2 linked regions of the Stegostoma tigrinum genome follow. The protein of the gene in region 1 purifies or fractionates together with the protein of each later gene. This does not show direct contact. Links are inferred from orthologs where the notes say so. Each region holds a gene or a part of one and is shown on either strand. Other genes may lie near its edges. The genes, in order: ubiquinol-cytochrome-c reductase complex assembly factor 1 and ubiquinol-cytochrome-c reductase complex assembly factor 2.

Region 1 (8,683 bases):
CCAACCACCCTCACCCTCTCCCACACCTCCCCCTCCAACCACCCTCACCCTCTCCCACACCCCCCCCTCTCCCACACCCCCCCCTCCAACCACCCTCACCCTCTCCCACACCCCCCCCTCCAACCACCCTCACCCTCTCCCACACCCCCCCCCCAACCACCCTCACCCTCTCACACACCCCCCCCAACCACCCTCACCCTCTCCCACACACCCCCGTCCAACCACCCTCACCCTCTCCCACACACCCCCGTCCAACCACCCTCACCCTCTCCCACCCCCACCGTCCAACCACCCTCACCCTCTCCCACACCCCCCCGTCCAACCACCCTCACCCTCTCCCACCCCCCCGTCCAACCACCCTCACCCTCTCCCACACCCCCCCGTCCAACCACCCTCACCCTCTCGCACTCCCCCCCGTCCAACCACCCTCACCCTCTCCCACACCCCCCCGTCCAACCTCCCTCACCCTCTCCCACACCCCCCCGTCCAACCTCCCTCACCCTCTCCCACACCCCCCCGTCCAACCTCCCTCACCCTCTCCCACACCCTCCCGTCCAACCTCCCTCACCCTCTCCCTCACCCCCCCGTCCAACCACCCTCACCCCCCCACCTCCCCCTCTAACTACCCTCACACCACCCTAACCACCCATCCAACCACCCTCACCCCCCCCAAACACCCTCACGCCCCCCTCACCCCTCCTCCAACCACCCCCACCCCCCCTCCAACCACCCTCACCCGCCCCCCAACCACCCTCACCCTCTCCCACACCACCCCTCCAACCACCCTCACCCTCTCCCACACCCCCCCTCCAACCACCCTCACCCTCTCCCACACCCCCCCTCCAACCACCCTCACCCTCTCCCACACCCCCCCTCCAACCACCCTCACCCTCTCCCACACCCCCCCTCCAACCACCCTCACCCTCTCCCACACTCCCCCCCTCCAACCACCCTCACCCTCTCCCACACTCCCCCCCTCCAACCACCCTCACCCTCTCCCACAACCCCCCCTCCAACCCCCCTCACCCTCTCCCACACCTCCCCCTCCAACCACCCTCACCCTCTCCCACACCCCCCCCCCTCCAACCACCCTCACCCTCTCCCACACACCCCCCTCCAACCACCCTCCCTCTCCCACACACCCCCCTCCAACCACCCTCACCCTCTCCCACACACCCCCCTCCAACCACCCTCACCCCCCCACCTCCCCCTCTAACCACCCTCACACCACCCTAACCCCCCATCCAACCACCCTCACCCTCTCCCACGCCTCCCCCTCCAACCACCCTCACCCTCTCCCACACCCCCCCTCCAACCACCCTCACCCTCTCCCACAAACCCCCTCCAACCACCCTCACCCTCTCCCACACCTCCCCCTCCAACCACCCTCACCCTCTCCCACACCCCCCCCCTCCAACCACCCTCACCCTCTCCCACACACCCCCCTCCAACCACCCTCCCTCTCCCACACACCCCCCTCCAACCACCCTCACCCTCTCCCACACACCCCCCTCCAACCACCCTCACCCTCTCCCACACACCCCCCTCCAACCACCCTCACCCCCCCACCTCCCCCTCTAACCACCCTCACACCACCCTAACCCCCCATCCAACCACCCTCACCCTCTCCCACACCTCCCCCTCCAACCACCCTCACCCTCTCCCACACCCCCCCCTCCAACCACCCTCACCCTCTCCCACACCCCCCCCTCCAACCACCCTCACCCTCTCCCACACACCCCCCTCCAACCACCCTCACCCTCTCCCACACACCCCCCTCCAACCACCCTCCCTCTCCCACACACCCCCCTCCAACCACCCTCACCCTCTCCCTCACCCCCCCCTCCAACCACCCTCACCCCCCCACCTCCCCCTCTAACCACCCTCACACCACCCTAACCCCCCATCCAACCACCCTCACCCCCCCAAACACCCTCACGCCCCCCTCACCCACCCTCCAACCACCCTCACCCTCTCCCACACCCCCCCCTCCAACCACCCTCACCCTCTCCCACACCCCCCCTCCAACCACCCTCACCCACTCCCACACACCCCCCTCCAACCACCCTCCCTCTCCCACACACCCCCCTCCAACCACCCTCACCCTCTCCCTCACCCCCCCCTCCAACCACCCTCACCCTCTCCCTCACCCCCCCCTCCAACCACCCTCACCCCCCCCACCTCCCCCTCTAACCACCCTCACACCACCCTAACCCCCCATCCAACCACCCTCACCCCCCCAAACACCCTCACGCCCCCCTCACCCACCCTCCAACCACCCTCACCCTCTCCCACACCCCCCCCTCCAACCACCCTCACCCTCTCCCACACCCCCCCTCCAACCACCCTCACCCACTCCCACACACCCCCCTCTCACCACCCTCACCCTCTCCAACACCCCCCCCTCTCACCACCCTCACCCTCTCCAACACCCCCCCCTCCAACCACCCTCACCCTCTCCCACGCCCCCCCCCTCCAACCACCCTCACCCTCTCCCACGCCCCCCCCTCCAACCACCCTCACCCTCTCACACACCCCCCCCCCAACCACCCTCACCCTCTCCCACACCCCCCCTCCAACCACCCTCACCCACTCCCACACACCCCCCTCTCACCACCCTCACCCTCTCCAACACCCCCCCCTCTCACCACCCTCACCCTCTCCAACACCCCCCCCTCCAACCACCCTCACCCTCTCCCACGCCCCCCCTCCAACCACCCTCACCCTCTCACACGCCCCCCCCCCAACCACCCTCACCCTCTCACACGCCCCCCCCTCTCACCACCCTCACCCTCTCCCACACCCCCCCCTCTCACCACCCTCACCCTCTCCAACACCCCCCCCTCTCACCACCCTCACCCTCTCCAACACCCCCCCCTCTCACCACCCTCACCCTCTCCAACACCCCCCCCTCTCACCACCCTCACCCTCTCCAACACCCCCCCCTCTCACCACCCTCACCCTCTCCAACACCCCCCCCTCTCACCACCCTCACCCTCTCCAACACCCCCCCCTCTCACCACCCTCACCCTCTCCCACACCCCCCCCCTCCAACCACCCTCACCCTCTCCCACACACCCCCGTCCAACCACCCTCACCCTCTCCCACACACCCCCGTCCAACCACCCTCACCCTCTCCCACTCCCCCCGTCCAACCACCCTCACCCTCTCCCACACCCCCCCGTCCAACCACCCTCACCCTCTCCCACCCCCCCCGTCCAACCACCCTCACCCTCTCCCACACCCCCCCGTCCAACCACCCTCACCCTCTCGCACTCCCCCCCGTCCAACCACCCTCACCCTCTCCCACACCCCCCCGTCCAACCTCCCTCACCCTCTCCCACACCCCCCCGTCCAACCTCCCTCACCCTCTCCCACACCCCCCCGTCCAACCTCCCTCACCCTCTCCCACACCCTCCCGTCCAACCTCCCTCACCCTCTCCCTCACCCCCCCGTCCAACCACCCTCACCCCCCCACCTCCCCCTCTAACTACCCTCACACCACCCTAACCCCCCATCCAACCACCCTCACCCCCCCCAAACACCCTCACGCCCCCCTCACCCCTCCTCCAACCACCCCCACCCCCCCTCCAACCACCCCCACCCCCACCCCCACCCCCACCCCCCCCTCCAACCACCCTCACCCCCCCTCCAACCACCCCCCCCCTCCAACCACCCTCACCCCCCCTCCAACCACCCTCACCCACATCTCCCACCCTCACCCTCCCCACCACCCTCACCCTCCCCACCACCCTCACCCCCCCCCAACCACCCTCACCCCCCCCCAACCACCCTCACCCTCCCCTCCAACCACCCTCACCCTCCCCTCCAACCACCCTCACCCTCTCCCACACCCCCCCCTCAAACCACCCTCAACCTCTCCCTCACCCCCCTCCGACCACCATCTCCCCCTCCCTCACCTCCCCTCCGACCACCATCTCCCCCTCCCTCACCTCCCCTCCGACCCCCCCACCCCCTCTCCAACCACCCTCACCTCCCCTCCGACCCCCCCACCCCCTCTCCAACCACCCTCACCCCCTCTCCAACCACCCTCACCCTCTCGTCACTCCCCCCCCTCCCCCTCACCCCCCCTCCCCCACCCCCACCCCCTTAACCCCACTCACCAGGGGGAGGCCACTCATACCCCGCGGATCTAAAGGACTGTCCTTCCCTGTCCCCAGAGTCTCACGCCGCTTAGACCGGAAATGGTCCGCCCCGCTTTCTGTTCCGGGTCCCCCCGCGGAACAAACATTCCGCCCTGGGCCGGGGAGCGTTGTTGACCCGGACAGGGACAGGGATCCTGGTGGTGGAGAGAGCCCGGGCTGCCCCTGTGCTGGGTCTGGGGTCTGGGGTCTGGGGGCTGGGGGCTGGGGTCTGGGGGCTGGGGTCTGGGGGCTGGGGTCTGGGGTCTGGGGCCTGGGGGCTGGGGCTGGGATCCGGGGTCTGGGGGCTGGGGGCTGGGGTCTGGGGGCTGGGGTCGGGGTCGGGGTCTGGGGGCTGGGGGCTGGGGCTTGTGCTTGTCTTTCAGGGAGAGCTCTCACCCGGGCCACCATCACAGCCCCTGACATTGTCTGCTGCCTGTAACTAGAATAGGAAATAAACAGTTCCTTTAGAAAGACAATAAACCAGAAATTGTCCCAGAAAACTAACAGAGATGAAAGAAAACTGTGAAAATATTTCTGCAACCTTTCAAAACCAAAATTCCTCGTTTAAAAAACATGTTAATTCATTTGTACACGTTTGTGTCCACTGCAATGAAACACGTGTGAAATGAATGGTCTAAGAGAGATCACAAAATTCTTTAAGCATGAACTTATTCGTTAAGGTTATGGTAGACTCAGATTCAAAATAAGAGTATTAAAATCATAAAACCATTAAATAAAACCGTGATCTTGGATTCATGTGGTGCTACACGTTATCCCACTACACTTCTGTGTCTGTGAAATATTCCATACTGTACTGTTTTGACACCTTCACTTTGATAAATTGTTATGATCTCTCTAATTAGTTTGTACAGTTTTGGAATACTTATTACTTTGGTTGGACCCTTTGACACACAACTCTTCCATCTATCATGTTATTCCAGTCGTTTGGTTTGTCTCCAGCACCACCTTGTTTTTTTTTGTAACTATCTCACTGTCTTGTTTCATCAGATTGCAGGTCATCCTTTCACTTTCTATTCAGCTGTTGACACTTTAAACATTGTCTGACACTTGATTACCCGCAGAGACCTACTATTCGGCCTGTTGACGCTCCACTTGCGCCATTTGTATGATCTTTTGATCTTCTGCCCATTGATCTCTCCACCCATAAATTCTGTGCTCGTGTGATTCTGTCTCACTTCACCTGCTGAAGGAGCAATGCTCCGAGAAGATTGTGATTTCAGATAAGCCTGTTGGATTATAACCTGGTGTCAAGACACGATTTCCCCTTGTGAGGAAGGGTCACCGGACCAGAAATGTTAACTCTGATATTTTTTCATGGATGCTGCCAGACCTGCTGAGCTTTTCCAGCAATTTCTGTTTTTGTCCCTGATTTACAGAATCTGCAGTTCTTTCAGTTTTTCTAACCTGATGTTGTCTGACTTCTGACCTTGTCCACCCCACTCCAACAGTGGCACCTCCACATCCTAGAATTATATAGTTCCAAATCAACCTGTAAGTCTACTGCCAGAAATACATGATCACCTACACATAATACAACTGAGAGATACTCAGGACAGCAAAGTGTAATGTTCATAGTTTAATAAGGTTCTATATAGGTTATTAACATTTTTATTGCTATTCACAACTGCACGGTGCGTCCTGAATGTTGAGATTTTCAACTGAGTGTGATTTGCCCCAGGCACTATGCCATGCTTGACGCCAAACTAGCTGTACACGTTCTACAGGCCACTGGAAGTAAAAACAAGGTGTCAATTGTAACTGGTTTCACTAGTTGAAAAGTCTCCCTCTTCATGCTGACTATCCAAGTGTTTTTGCCTTTTAATACATGAACTGAACCATCGTGGATGTTTCCCGCATTGTTCAAGCCCCTACTTAGTGGAGGGATATCGTGGCTGTTAATCACACTCTATTGATAAATTGGAACCACAAGGAACAGTGAGAATATGGTTTAGAAGGATAATATTTTAAATTAATGGCCGTCCTTCAGAAACTATTACCCCCTTTAAAATTGTTTGGAGTGTCTCCAGGCAGGACAGTCTGACGCTTACTCAGAAGGAAAACCCTAGGCTGATGAATGACACAATGAAATAAAACAAAGAGCTGTGGATGCTGGAGATCCGAGACAAACAAAAACAGAAATTGGTGGAGAAACTCAGCAGGTCTGTCAGCATCTGTAACAAGAAAACAGAACTTCAGAACTATGGTAAGTAATATACATTGGTCTGCCTGGTCTTGTGTGCTTCAAAATGTATGACCAGGATGTTCATTTCTAACTATTAATGTTTTTAACTTGCTTTTCCCTCCGTGGGCTGGGGGTGAGGGGCAGCAAGCACAAATTAGAGAGCAATTAATATCTAGCCGAAGTGAGTTCCTCAGAGGCTGGCAGAATTTCACATTTTGAAAGTTTACTACTTGAATGACCTGCAGTGATCTACTCTTCTGAATGAACTGCAACAAGCTGACTGAACATAACTGTATATAAAAGTTGTTAAAATAGAACAGCTTATTTCAAGGCTTATTGACTGAGTAGATTGGGATTATATTCATTGGAATTGAAAATATTGAGAGTGGATCTTATAGAAACATATAAAATTATGAAGCGAATAGATAAGATATAAGTAGAGAGGATGTTCCCACTGGCAGGTGAAGCTAGGACAAGAGGGCATAGCCTCAAGATTAGAGGGAGCAGATTTAGGACTGAATTGAGAAGGAACTTCTTCACCCAGAGGATTGTTAATCTATGGAATTCCTTGCCCAGTGAAGCAGTTGATGCTACTTCAGTAAATGTTTTTAAAGCGAAGGTAGTTTTTTTTTGAATAATAAAGGAATTAAGTGATACGATGAGAACATGGGTAAGTGGATCTGAGCCCATGAAAAGATCAGCTATGATCTTATTGAATATCAGAGCGGGCTCGAAGGGCCGAATGGCCTACTCCTGCTCTTAGTTCTTATGTTCTTATAGACCAGATTCATGTCATCTGGCATCACAGTAGCATAGCTCCATTTGTGCACACTCGGTTAATCAAATAGATCTCATTTCCATTGTTTTTGGATGAAATCATAGTCCCAGTGCTAACAGATTTTGTACATTTCCCTCCCCACCCCATCTGTTTTTCGTAGGCTCTGTGCTCTCTGCAAATCGCTCATCCGCTCCACACTCCCCACTAACCCCCAGTACTTTTCCCTGCAACCGCAGGAAGTGCTACACCTGCCCCTACACCTCCCCCCTCAACTCCATCCAAGGCAAAAAACAAAAGTTCCACATTACACAGGAGTTCACCGGCACATCCGTCAACTTATTCTACTGCATCTGCTGCTCCTGATGTGGCATCTTCCACATCAGTGAGACCAAATGGAAGCTCAGAGACTGTTTTGTAGAGCACCTGCACTCTGTACACGACAAACAACACCTTCTAGTCACCAACCATTTTAACTCCCCCTCCCAATCCCTGGGCGACATGTCCATCCTGGGCCGCCTCCAGTGTAACAATGATGCCACCCGCAAACTGGAGGAGCAGCACCTCATATTCCACCTTGGGAGCCTACAACATGATGGCCTAAATGTGGATTTAATCAGTTTTAAAATCTCCCCACCCCCCAACCTCATCCCATGCCCAACCCTCCCTCTCATCCCCGCCTGCTTGACCAAACACAACCTGCCTGTCTTCTCTCCCACCTGCCCACCCTCCCACTCGACTGACCAATCCCCACCTCCCCACCTATCACCGTCTCACCTACCTTCCCCAGCACCACCCCTCCTCTCTCTATTTATTTCTGAGCTCCCCTCCCCTCCCCATTTCTGAAGAAGGGTCCCAATCTGAAATGTCAACTTTCCTGCTCCTCTGATGCTGCCTGGGCTGCTGTGTTCCTCCAGCTCCACACCTTGTTATCTCTTGTTCTCTGTTTTGTACATTTCACCTCCTTTGATCTATTTTCTGCTGTTTGCATCTACCATTAACACATTATTTTGATCCATATCCCTCATCTATTAGCATTCCCTTTGGCTTTTGCTGTGGGCACTCTCACTGCTTGTTCCATTTTCTCCTCCTACCTTTTTGTAACTAGGATATTAAAAAAAAATTTCCAGCCCCCTTCAGTTCCCAGAAACTTTGAAACATTAACTCTGTTCACAAATGCTGTGTGTCCTGCAGAGTTTCTCCAGCATTCACTCGGACAATGGTCAGGTGATCACAGATCAAAACTTTGTCCTTTTTAAAAAGACGTCAGGTCTTAAAATCAGATGTTAGGTTGAATGTTGATAGTCCATATTTGCTGTTATCATAACACAATAAAGTAAATTTGTTCTTGGTCTGCAGGGCTGCTCTCTCATTAGTCAGGGGCTACTGGTGGTGCTTTAATCTGACAGTCACCACACTTCAGATGATGAGAGATGTTGAGAAGGAGATGCCTTTATGGTAACCACAACTTGTGTGGGATTTGAACACACACTGTTGGTGTCACTCTATTGTGCAGCAGCTGTCCAGTCAACCGAACTAACTCAGTGGCATGCTTTTTGG
Region 2 (8,978 bases), on another chromosome or scaffold:
GTTTTATGGTCTTACTAATTTAAATTTCCTGACTGAATCTCGTATCTCTTTATTCCCTTAAGAGTTGAAAACTCTAGTGATGTAAGCCCTGAATATTTCAATAACTGAGTCTTCACAACTCTGGGACAGAGAATTCCAAGTTCTCTTAGGGGAGAACCTTCTCATTTCAACGCAAACTGGATATCCCCTTATCTTGAGGTTATGGTCTCTTATCCTTGGTTCTCCAGATTGGAACAACAGACTCTACAGCAAAAGTCATGTATAAAGAGCAAGTTTGTTTCTCAATTTAAAACAAAGAGCAGATAAAAATTATTGAAGTGAATGCAGAATTGGCAGGAAGTTGACAGTGTGTTCCAAATATGCTCATGCTCACATATCTAGGCTGATGTTTCACAGCAGTACTGTAGTATTGCTGCACTGTCTGATTATTGTTCAGTTCAGACATTAACAAGTCCGTTGGCTTTGAGCATTTAGGTGAATGCTAAGATTTCCGAGGAGTCCTTACACCCAAGATCTAGTGAATATTTCCAACATAACAACCTTAAAGTTGACTAATTGCTCCTCTAAGTCACTGCTTTTGAAATTTAAAGGCAGCTAAGAACTAATAGAAATGTAAGTCTACCATCCTTTCCATTAATAGCGTATCAATAATGCTATATTATCTGCATACACTGGCAAGGCAATATTTATTGTCCATTGCTCTCTACCCAATGGTAACAAATCAACTGCAATCTGGAATCACACATACCAGAGCAGACTCAGCTTGCATGTTTCTCCCTGAAATGTGTTAGTGGACCATCTGGTAATTTTTTTAAAAAATTAGATCTGGCAGCTCCCAATCATGTTTCTTTTCTGCTGGCAGCCTGTATGTTAGTTACCACATTTCTACATTCAAGTTCACAACATGTCATGATTGGATTTAAACTGTCAAACTCCAATAATCACGAAGCTTCCATAACTCCCATCAGTTGACAACTGCATGTAGTTAAATACGTGAACACTAAGTCTTTTAAGTTATGAAATCCCTTCCATTTTGTTAACCTATCATAATAGTATACTATTATGTACTGTTAAAATTCAAAGTACTGCAGTGAATTTTCTGGTACATTGAAATAGAGACAGGAAAACACGCATTCGAAATTTTTAAAAAGCCAGCTTTTTGTAGCTCCATTTGTTTTTCAATTGAATTCTCTAAGCTGATCAAATACAGATTCAATATCATTTTGGTTTTATCTACTCTATCAATTTACAATTAAAATGGCAAATTAAAAATCCTGGCACACGAAAACAGCCACTGTAGAATTTAATTTCTGTATTATGCAATATATACCATGACAAAATAAAAACTGGAGGAGATGGTAGATAACCCAGTTAGCTGCAGGAAATAATTAAAATTAGGAGGTCTGATGAAATTATAGTGGTAGCTATTTCACATATTATTTTTCACCAAGATTTCAGTTGCTAAGATAGTCAAATACTACAGTTATTGGGATGTGGAGAAACAAATATAAACAACAGAGAAAGGAGTTTTCTAAGAACCAAAGTTAGCATAGACTTTCCAATAACTGGGGAATTGGCAGCAAGATACTGAAACAAATAAATTACTGAAGAAACATTTAATTTCAGCGGAGAAATAAAAATGACTTGCAACCCTAAAACCCCAAGACCTTTGAAATAACGTTCTCCTGAAATGGATTGTAAAAATTGTTGAAAATGTCAAGCTAGAAAAAAGGAAATCCGTTCTGCGTGACATCAGAAATATAATACTTATACAGAGCAAGATCATTTCTTTGCCAAGTGGTCTGAAGCTCAGAAAGTGGAACACAGGCAAACAATAGTTACAATGATGCCTGCAACTCAGGTTCTGTTCACTGATATGAATTTGTTGGGATTGTAAAAGGCCAAATGATAAACGATATGCCATTAATCATAGTTAGACAGACCTCAGCTAGACTGTCATTGCTGCTACTCCCACTGTTTTACTTGGGAATGAGAAATTGACTATTAGTTTGCTACTTCCTAGGTTCTTATGATGGTCTCCATATTTCAAGCATCAGGCAAGGAAAAAAAAGTTATCAGACCCTGCATCTTCAAAGTGGCTCCAATTGCAATCTAGGCAACTGTTGGAAGGTAGTTAATTGGGATATGCATGAAGCAGTCCGTGTCCCGACTATATTAATTTCCTGCAAAGGTTATCAAAAAAACATGCATTAATGCATTGATGAAAGTTATGTAAGCAAGCTGCTGATAGGAAAGATCTTGTAAGAATCTCTTTCAGGGCTCATATGGCACAGTGACACTGTCCCTATCTCTCAGTGTCCTAGATTCAAGTTCCACCTGCTCCAAAGGTGAGTCATAACACCTCAAAACAGGTTGATTGGAAATCGTCTGCAACAGTCTCTTTCATAGGGGAAAAAGTATTTGATAAACTAATAGGACCAAGGGCAAAGAAGTTGCCTGGTAAGGGAGTTAGTGACAAGGAATTAGTAAAGTAAATGCTTACAAAAAGAACGAGGCAGAGTTGAAAAGTGACATTATTTATGTATAGTTCAGGTACATATGGATGCTTTGGAGAGGGTTCAGAGGAGGTTTACCAGGATGCTGCCTGGACTGGAGGGCTTATCTTATGAAGAGAGGTTGACTGAGCTCGGTCTCTTTTCATTGGAGAAAAGGAGGAGGAGAGGGGACCTAATTGAGGTATACAAGATAATGAGAGGCATAGATAGAGTTGATAGCCAGAGACTATTTCCCAGGGCAGAAATGGCTAGCACGAGGGGTCATAGTTTTAAGCTGGTTGGTGGAAAGTATAGAGGGGATGTCAGAGGCAGGTTCTTTACGCAGAGAGTTGTGAGAGCATGGAATGCGTTGCCAGCAGTTGTGGAAGCAAGGTCATTGGGGTCATTTAAGGGACTGCTGGACATGCATATGGTCACAGAAATTTGAGGGTGCATACATGAGGATCAATGGTCGGCACAACATTGTGGGCTGAAGGGCCTGTTCTGTGCTGTACTGTTCTATGTTCTACATATCTTTTGAGGGAAAATAAATAGTTGCTTGAATCAGAGAAAGAACAAGTTGTGGAGAGAGACAGCAGTGTAATTAGATTTTCATGTTGAGTGAGCAAAAAGCCAGCAAAGAAGGACACTGAGAGATAGGGACAGTGTCACCGTGCCATATGAGCCCTGAAAGAGATTCTTACAAGATCTTTCCTATCATTAGCACTTTGCTTACATAACCTTCATCAATGCATTAGTGCATGTTTTTTATAACCTTTGCAGGAAATTAATACAGTCGGGACACAGACTGCTTTATGCATATCCCGCCCCCCACCTCCGACCCCCTACCCCAGGCCCGTTTCCGCCACCCCCCCACCCCCCCCCCCCCACCTCCGACCCCCTAACCCCTCCGCTTTACCTGGGAGCTCTCCCCTTCTCGGAAACCTTGCGCCACTTTCTGGCGGATGAAAGCCCCGAGGTCTCGGCCTTTCTTGGTCTGATCCAGAGGCCACTCCTCGCAGAGTTTCAGGAAGCGGCGATACCGGGTCGCAGCCATTCCTGAGGGCCACACCGGCCACTGTCCAACACCTTCACCGGCTCTGCCGGCACCGACCCTTCAACAGCCAACAAAATGGCGCGTGCAGGTGTGCGCATGTGCGGTCCCGGTAGCCTGTTCCGCCTGAGGAGATCGTGCTGTTTGAGCTGTCAATCATTGAGAACCCTTGTGCTGTCTGTACCAACTCTTCGCATCATTTGCAGGAGTCAGAGTACAAGTTTTGAAATTAGATTTTTTTTTCACTCGATGTTTACTGCATCTCCTGTCACGTTTCTCAGAGTGTCCTAGATCTGGATTGATTGCTAAACAGCTTGCAGAACCTGCTAGGTGTATTGGAAATGCAGAAAAAAGCGGAACGTCTGTTCGTAGGAACCTCACACAGCTACAAGGTTATCAGATGGATGTTACTAAGGCGCGATGCAGGTCACGGCTGTGGCTGGCCTAAGCATCCTGTTATAGCAGTTCCTGCTGCCCACTGGACCAGGAGGGAGCCATATCGTACTCGAAACATCCACTCTGTTTCTCTCCTCACAGATGCTGACAGATCTGCTGAGTTTCTCCAGCACTGTTTTTATTTAAAGCAACAGATAATTTTCTGTATGTTTTAGACACAATGGAATGCCCTCATCAATGCAGAATTGTCCACTGGAGTCTGTAGTCACCAGTCATCCCAGCAGTAACATGGATTTGTCACCCATTTACACCATTTAATTGAATTGTAAATCATGTGAATACAAGTGCCACTGAAGCAGGGATTTTTTTTTGTGAGGAGTTTGCACAAGTTTCTGCATTTGTTTGCATTGTAGTTTTGCACCAGAAGAGGAACCAGCAACCAGAAGAGGAAACCTCATCTATCCCATCAAACCCAAGCTGGTATGTGATCATGACAGAAGGAAAACACAAATTAAATCAAGTTGTATCAAGGTGTATATCAAATATAACATGATTATATTTAATATTGACTTTTACTTTATCAGATGGACACATGAAATTTAAAAAAAATGTTTAAACAAAAGATGTTAACTAGCAAGATGCGCACATCTATTATACATTATTGTACATTCCACGTAATTTGGCCATCCTCCCCTGGCCTGTATGAGAAATTTGTTAACTTGGCTTGTAATCAGAGCGTTCAGAAGTATGAGAAAAATCTAATTGATGTGTATGCAATTTTAACAGGCCAGGACAGACAAGATGCCAGAGGATGTTTTCCCTGGTTGAGGAGTCGAGAAGCAGGGGACACAGTCTCAGGATAAGAGGTGGACTAGTGAAAAGCCGGTGGAGGCCAAATCACTGAATATATTCAAACAAAAGATAGAGATGGTATGGAAACAGACTCCTCTGTCCAACTAGTCTACGCCAACCACGTTCCCAAACTAAACTTGTCCCACTTGCTTGTGTTTTGGCCCATGTCCCTCCAAACATTTCTGATTCATGTACCTGTCCAAATGTCTTTTAAATGTTGTAACTGTACCTGCATCCACCACTTCCTCTGGCAGTTCATTTCCGCAATCGAACCACTCTGTATGAAGAAGTTGCCCCTCATGTCCTTACTGAAAAATTCTTCTCTCACCTGAAAAGTATGCCCCTCAGTTTTGAACTCTCCCACCCAAGGAGAAAGATCCTTGCTATTCACCTTATCAATGCCCCGCATAATTTTGTAAACCTCTATAAGGCCACCCCTCAACCTCCCATGCTCCAGTGAAAAAAAGTCCCAGACAATTCAGCCACTCCTTATATCACAAACCATTCATTCCTGCAACATCCTAGTAACTCTTTTCTGAATCATCTTCAATTTAATAATATCCTTCCTACAGCAGAGCAACCAGAACTACACACAGTACTCCGCAAGAGGCCTCGCCAACATCCTGTGCAACTTCAACATGACACCCCAACTCTTTTACTCTAAGGCCTGAGCAATGAAGACAGGTGTGCTGGATGCCTTCATAACCACCCTGTCAACCTGATTCACTTTTAAAGACATCAGGAATACAGCGATAAAATGAGAATATGGAATTAAGTTAGAGGATCGACTGTGATCATATTGAATGATGTGGAGGTGCTGTTGTTGTAGTGGACTGGACAATGTCAAAAATCACACAACACCAGGCTATAGTTTGTATAAACAGGTTTATTTGAAGATATTTGAAGACGGAGTGAGTCTCCAAAACCTTGCGTCTTAAGATAAACCTGTTCGACTATAACCTGGTGTTGTGTGATTTTTGGCCATGTTGAATGGAGGAACAGGCTCAAAAGCCTAAATGATCAAATCCCACTCCTAGTTTTTGTTTAACCTCTAATCTTGTGTGTTGAGCTTCAAGTGCATGTACATGCGCGTGTGGGAAGTCAAAGTATATTTTATTATTATTTTCCCAAGTCAGTTTTAGTAGAACAAAACTAATCTCTGTATTTGTTGAACTCAAGAAACTAAGTCGATTAATTCTTTTATGATAACATGTAAACAGTTAAGTAATCAGATTTGGCAACAATAACCATTTTTAAACAAAAAAATGCCTGTCACGATTAAACAAGGAGGGAGAAAAGGGAGGAGCCATTTCATCACCTGGTCATAACACAAGTTTGCATCAATTCTGCTGATCTCACCATCCATTATTCGTCAGTCCAGTAACACCAAAAGATAGACCACATTTAGCTGGTGACACTTCTTTACAAGTCCACCATTATCTAAGCAATACTGATAAAATGAGAGTCACAACCCATTAAGAACCTGAGAAATCATACATTGGGCAGTTTGGCTGAAAGTTTCAGATACCTTGATCAACAGAACATAGAACAGTACAGCACATTACAGGCTCTTCGGCCCACGATGTTGTGCCGTGGAATAATCCCAATCCAAAAATAAGATAACCTAACCTGTATTCCCCTCAATCCACTGCTGTCCATGTGCATGTCCAGCTTAAATGTCATGAATGACTCCGCTTCCATGACTAACACTGGTAAACTACTCCATGCGCTCACAACTCTCTGGGTGAAGAACCTCCCTCTGACGTCTCCTCTATACCTTCCTTCTAACACCTTAAAACTATGACCCCTCGTGGCAGTCAGCCCTGCCCTGAGGAAAGGTCTCTGGCTATCGACTCTATCAATGCCTCTCATTACCTTGTACATCTCGATCAGGTCACCTCTCTTCCTCCTTCTCTCCAGAGAGAAAAGTCCAAGCTCAGTCAACCTCTCCTCGTAAGACAAGCCCTCCAGTCCAGGCAGCATCCTGGTAAACCTCCTTTGCACCCTCTCCAAAGCCTCCACATCTTTCCTATAATAGGGCGACCAGAATTGGACACAATATTCCAAGTGTGGTCTCACCAGGGTTTTGTAGAGCTGCAGCATAACCTCGCGGCTCTTAAACTCGATCGCCCTGTTAATGAAAGCCAAAACACCATATGCTTTCTTAACAACCTTATCCACCTGGGTAGCAACTTTGAGGGAGCTATGCACTTGAACACCAAGATCCCGCTGTTCCTCCACACTGCCAAGAATCCTGCCTTTAATCCTATATTCAGCATTTAAGTTCAGCCTTCCAAAATGCATCACTTCGCATTTATCCAGGTTGAACTCCATCTGCCATTTCTCAGCCCAGCTCTGCATTCTGTCAATGTCTTGCTGAAGCCTGCAATAGCCCTTGATACTATCAACGGCACCTCCAACCTTTGTGTCATCAGCAAACATACTAACCCACCCCTCAACCTCCTCATCCAAGTCATTTATAAAAACTACAAAGAACAGAGGCTCAAGAACAGACCCCTGTGGGACACCACTCAGCACTGATCTCCAGCCAGAATATTTGCCATCTACAACCACTCTCTGCCTCCTGTCAGCCAACCAATTCTGAATCCAGACAGCTAAATCACCCTGTATCCCATACCTCCTGACTTTATGAATGAGCCTGCCGTGGGGAACCTTATCGAATACCTTGCTGAAGTCCATGTACACCACACCCACTGCTCGACCCTTATCGACCTTTCTCGTGACTTCCTCAAATAACTCAATAAGATTTGTGAGGCCTGACCTGCCCCTCACAAAGCCATGCTGACTCCCTTTAATCACGCTATGCTTTTCTAAATAGTCATAAATCCTATCCCTCAGAATTCTTTCCAAAACCTTGCTGACCACAGACGTAAGAGTGACTGGTCTGTAATTTCCAGGGATTACCCTACTCCCTTTCTTGAAAAGAGGAACAACATTTGCCTCCCTCCTATCTTCTGGTACGACTCCCATGGAGAGTGAGGAAGCAAAGATCTTCACCAGCGGCTTAGCAACCTCCTTTCTCACTTCCCGGAGCAACCTAGGATAAATCTGGTCTGGCCCTGGGGACTTATCAATCTTAATGTTTGCCAGAATTTCCAGCACATCAACTTCCTCAGTCTTGATCTGTTCAAGCCAGTTTCCCTGCTCCCCAAAGCTCTCATTCACAACAAGGTCCCTTTCCTTAGTGAAAACCGAAGCAAAATACTCATTTAGGGCTTCCCCTATCTGCTCAGACTCCACGCACAAGTTCGCTACGCTATCCCTGATCGGCCCTACCTTCTCCCTGATCATTCTCTTATTACTTACATTATGAGTAAAATGCCTTCAGGTTCTCCCTAATCCTTCCTGCCAAGCCTTTCTCGTGTCCCCTCCTGGCCCTCCTCAGTCCACTTTTGAGCTCCTTCCGAGCAAGCCTGTAATCCTCTAAAGCTGGTCATACAAAATGTGCCATTTTATTCTAGTTATGCATCACTCTGCATAATATAACAATTCAGAGAGTGTTACATGGAAAAAAAACAATATCATGCTTTATCCATTGCTAAGTTGGAAAAAATTGAATGATGGTGATGAAAAGTCATAAGAAGGAAGGGCATCAAAATACAATGCAGGGACTAGTTGATAGAGTGATGCTTGTGGTGACGTCTGCACCACTGTATCTGTAAAATCAGGTAAAACACAGTCTTATTACCCCTTTGATTCTTCTCATTGAAAATATGCCGCCAAACACAATGGAAATGTCTTTAAACAATTGAGCCAAAGAAACTGTAACCCAAAGCAACTGGAGACCGAAGATGCAAATGTAATACATGTGTTTATCTTCCTTCCCAACAGAATATTATTCTAGTGATTTTTTTTGTCATCTAAGTGATTAACCAATTATGCCTTACTAAAAGGGCATTTTTACTAACTCATCTCTTCTATGATGTGCCCTTTGAATTGCTTTGGCAGTACTCACAGAAGGCTGCAATTTCTGAGATGAAGGCCCCTGAACTTGAGACCTTGATGACCTCAATGCAGCATTTTACTGGTTGTTGGGGAAAATGGCACAGTTGACTTATTGGCACTGCTGTTGACATAGATTGAAGATGTGGCAAGAAAAAAGACAACCTTTCATCCTCAGAAGTAATGCATACCATTACTGTTGACCTATTAGCCCTTTT

What was found.
Region 2: the proteins of ubiquinol-cytochrome-c reductase complex assembly factor 1 (region 1) and ubiquinol-cytochrome-c reductase complex assembly factor 2 purify together in Homo sapiens (co-immunoprecipitation; 3 studies listed by BioGRID and IntAct, counting the BioPlex papers as one, with this or other methods). This does not show direct contact. The link is inferred for Stegostoma tigrinum from reciprocal best matches to the Homo sapiens genes UQCC1 and UQCC2.

Annotation. Positions count from the first base shown.
Region 1 is NC_081372.1:7,934,905-7,943,587, forward strand, and holds the start of ubiquinol-cytochrome-c reductase complex assembly factor 1, read right to left. Parts: upstream 4,252-8,683; 5' UTR 4,143-4,251; coding exon 4,125-4,142; intron 1-4,124. UniProt on the Homo sapiens protein: Required for the assembly of the ubiquinol-cytochrome c reductase complex (mitochondrial respiratory chain complex III or cytochrome b-c1 complex). Involved in cytochrome b translation and/or stability.
Region 2 is NC_081374.1:28,865,644-28,874,621, forward strand, and holds the start of ubiquinol-cytochrome-c reductase complex assembly factor 2, read right to left. Parts: upstream 3,655-8,978; 5' UTR 3,553-3,654; coding exon 3,415-3,552; intron 1-3,414.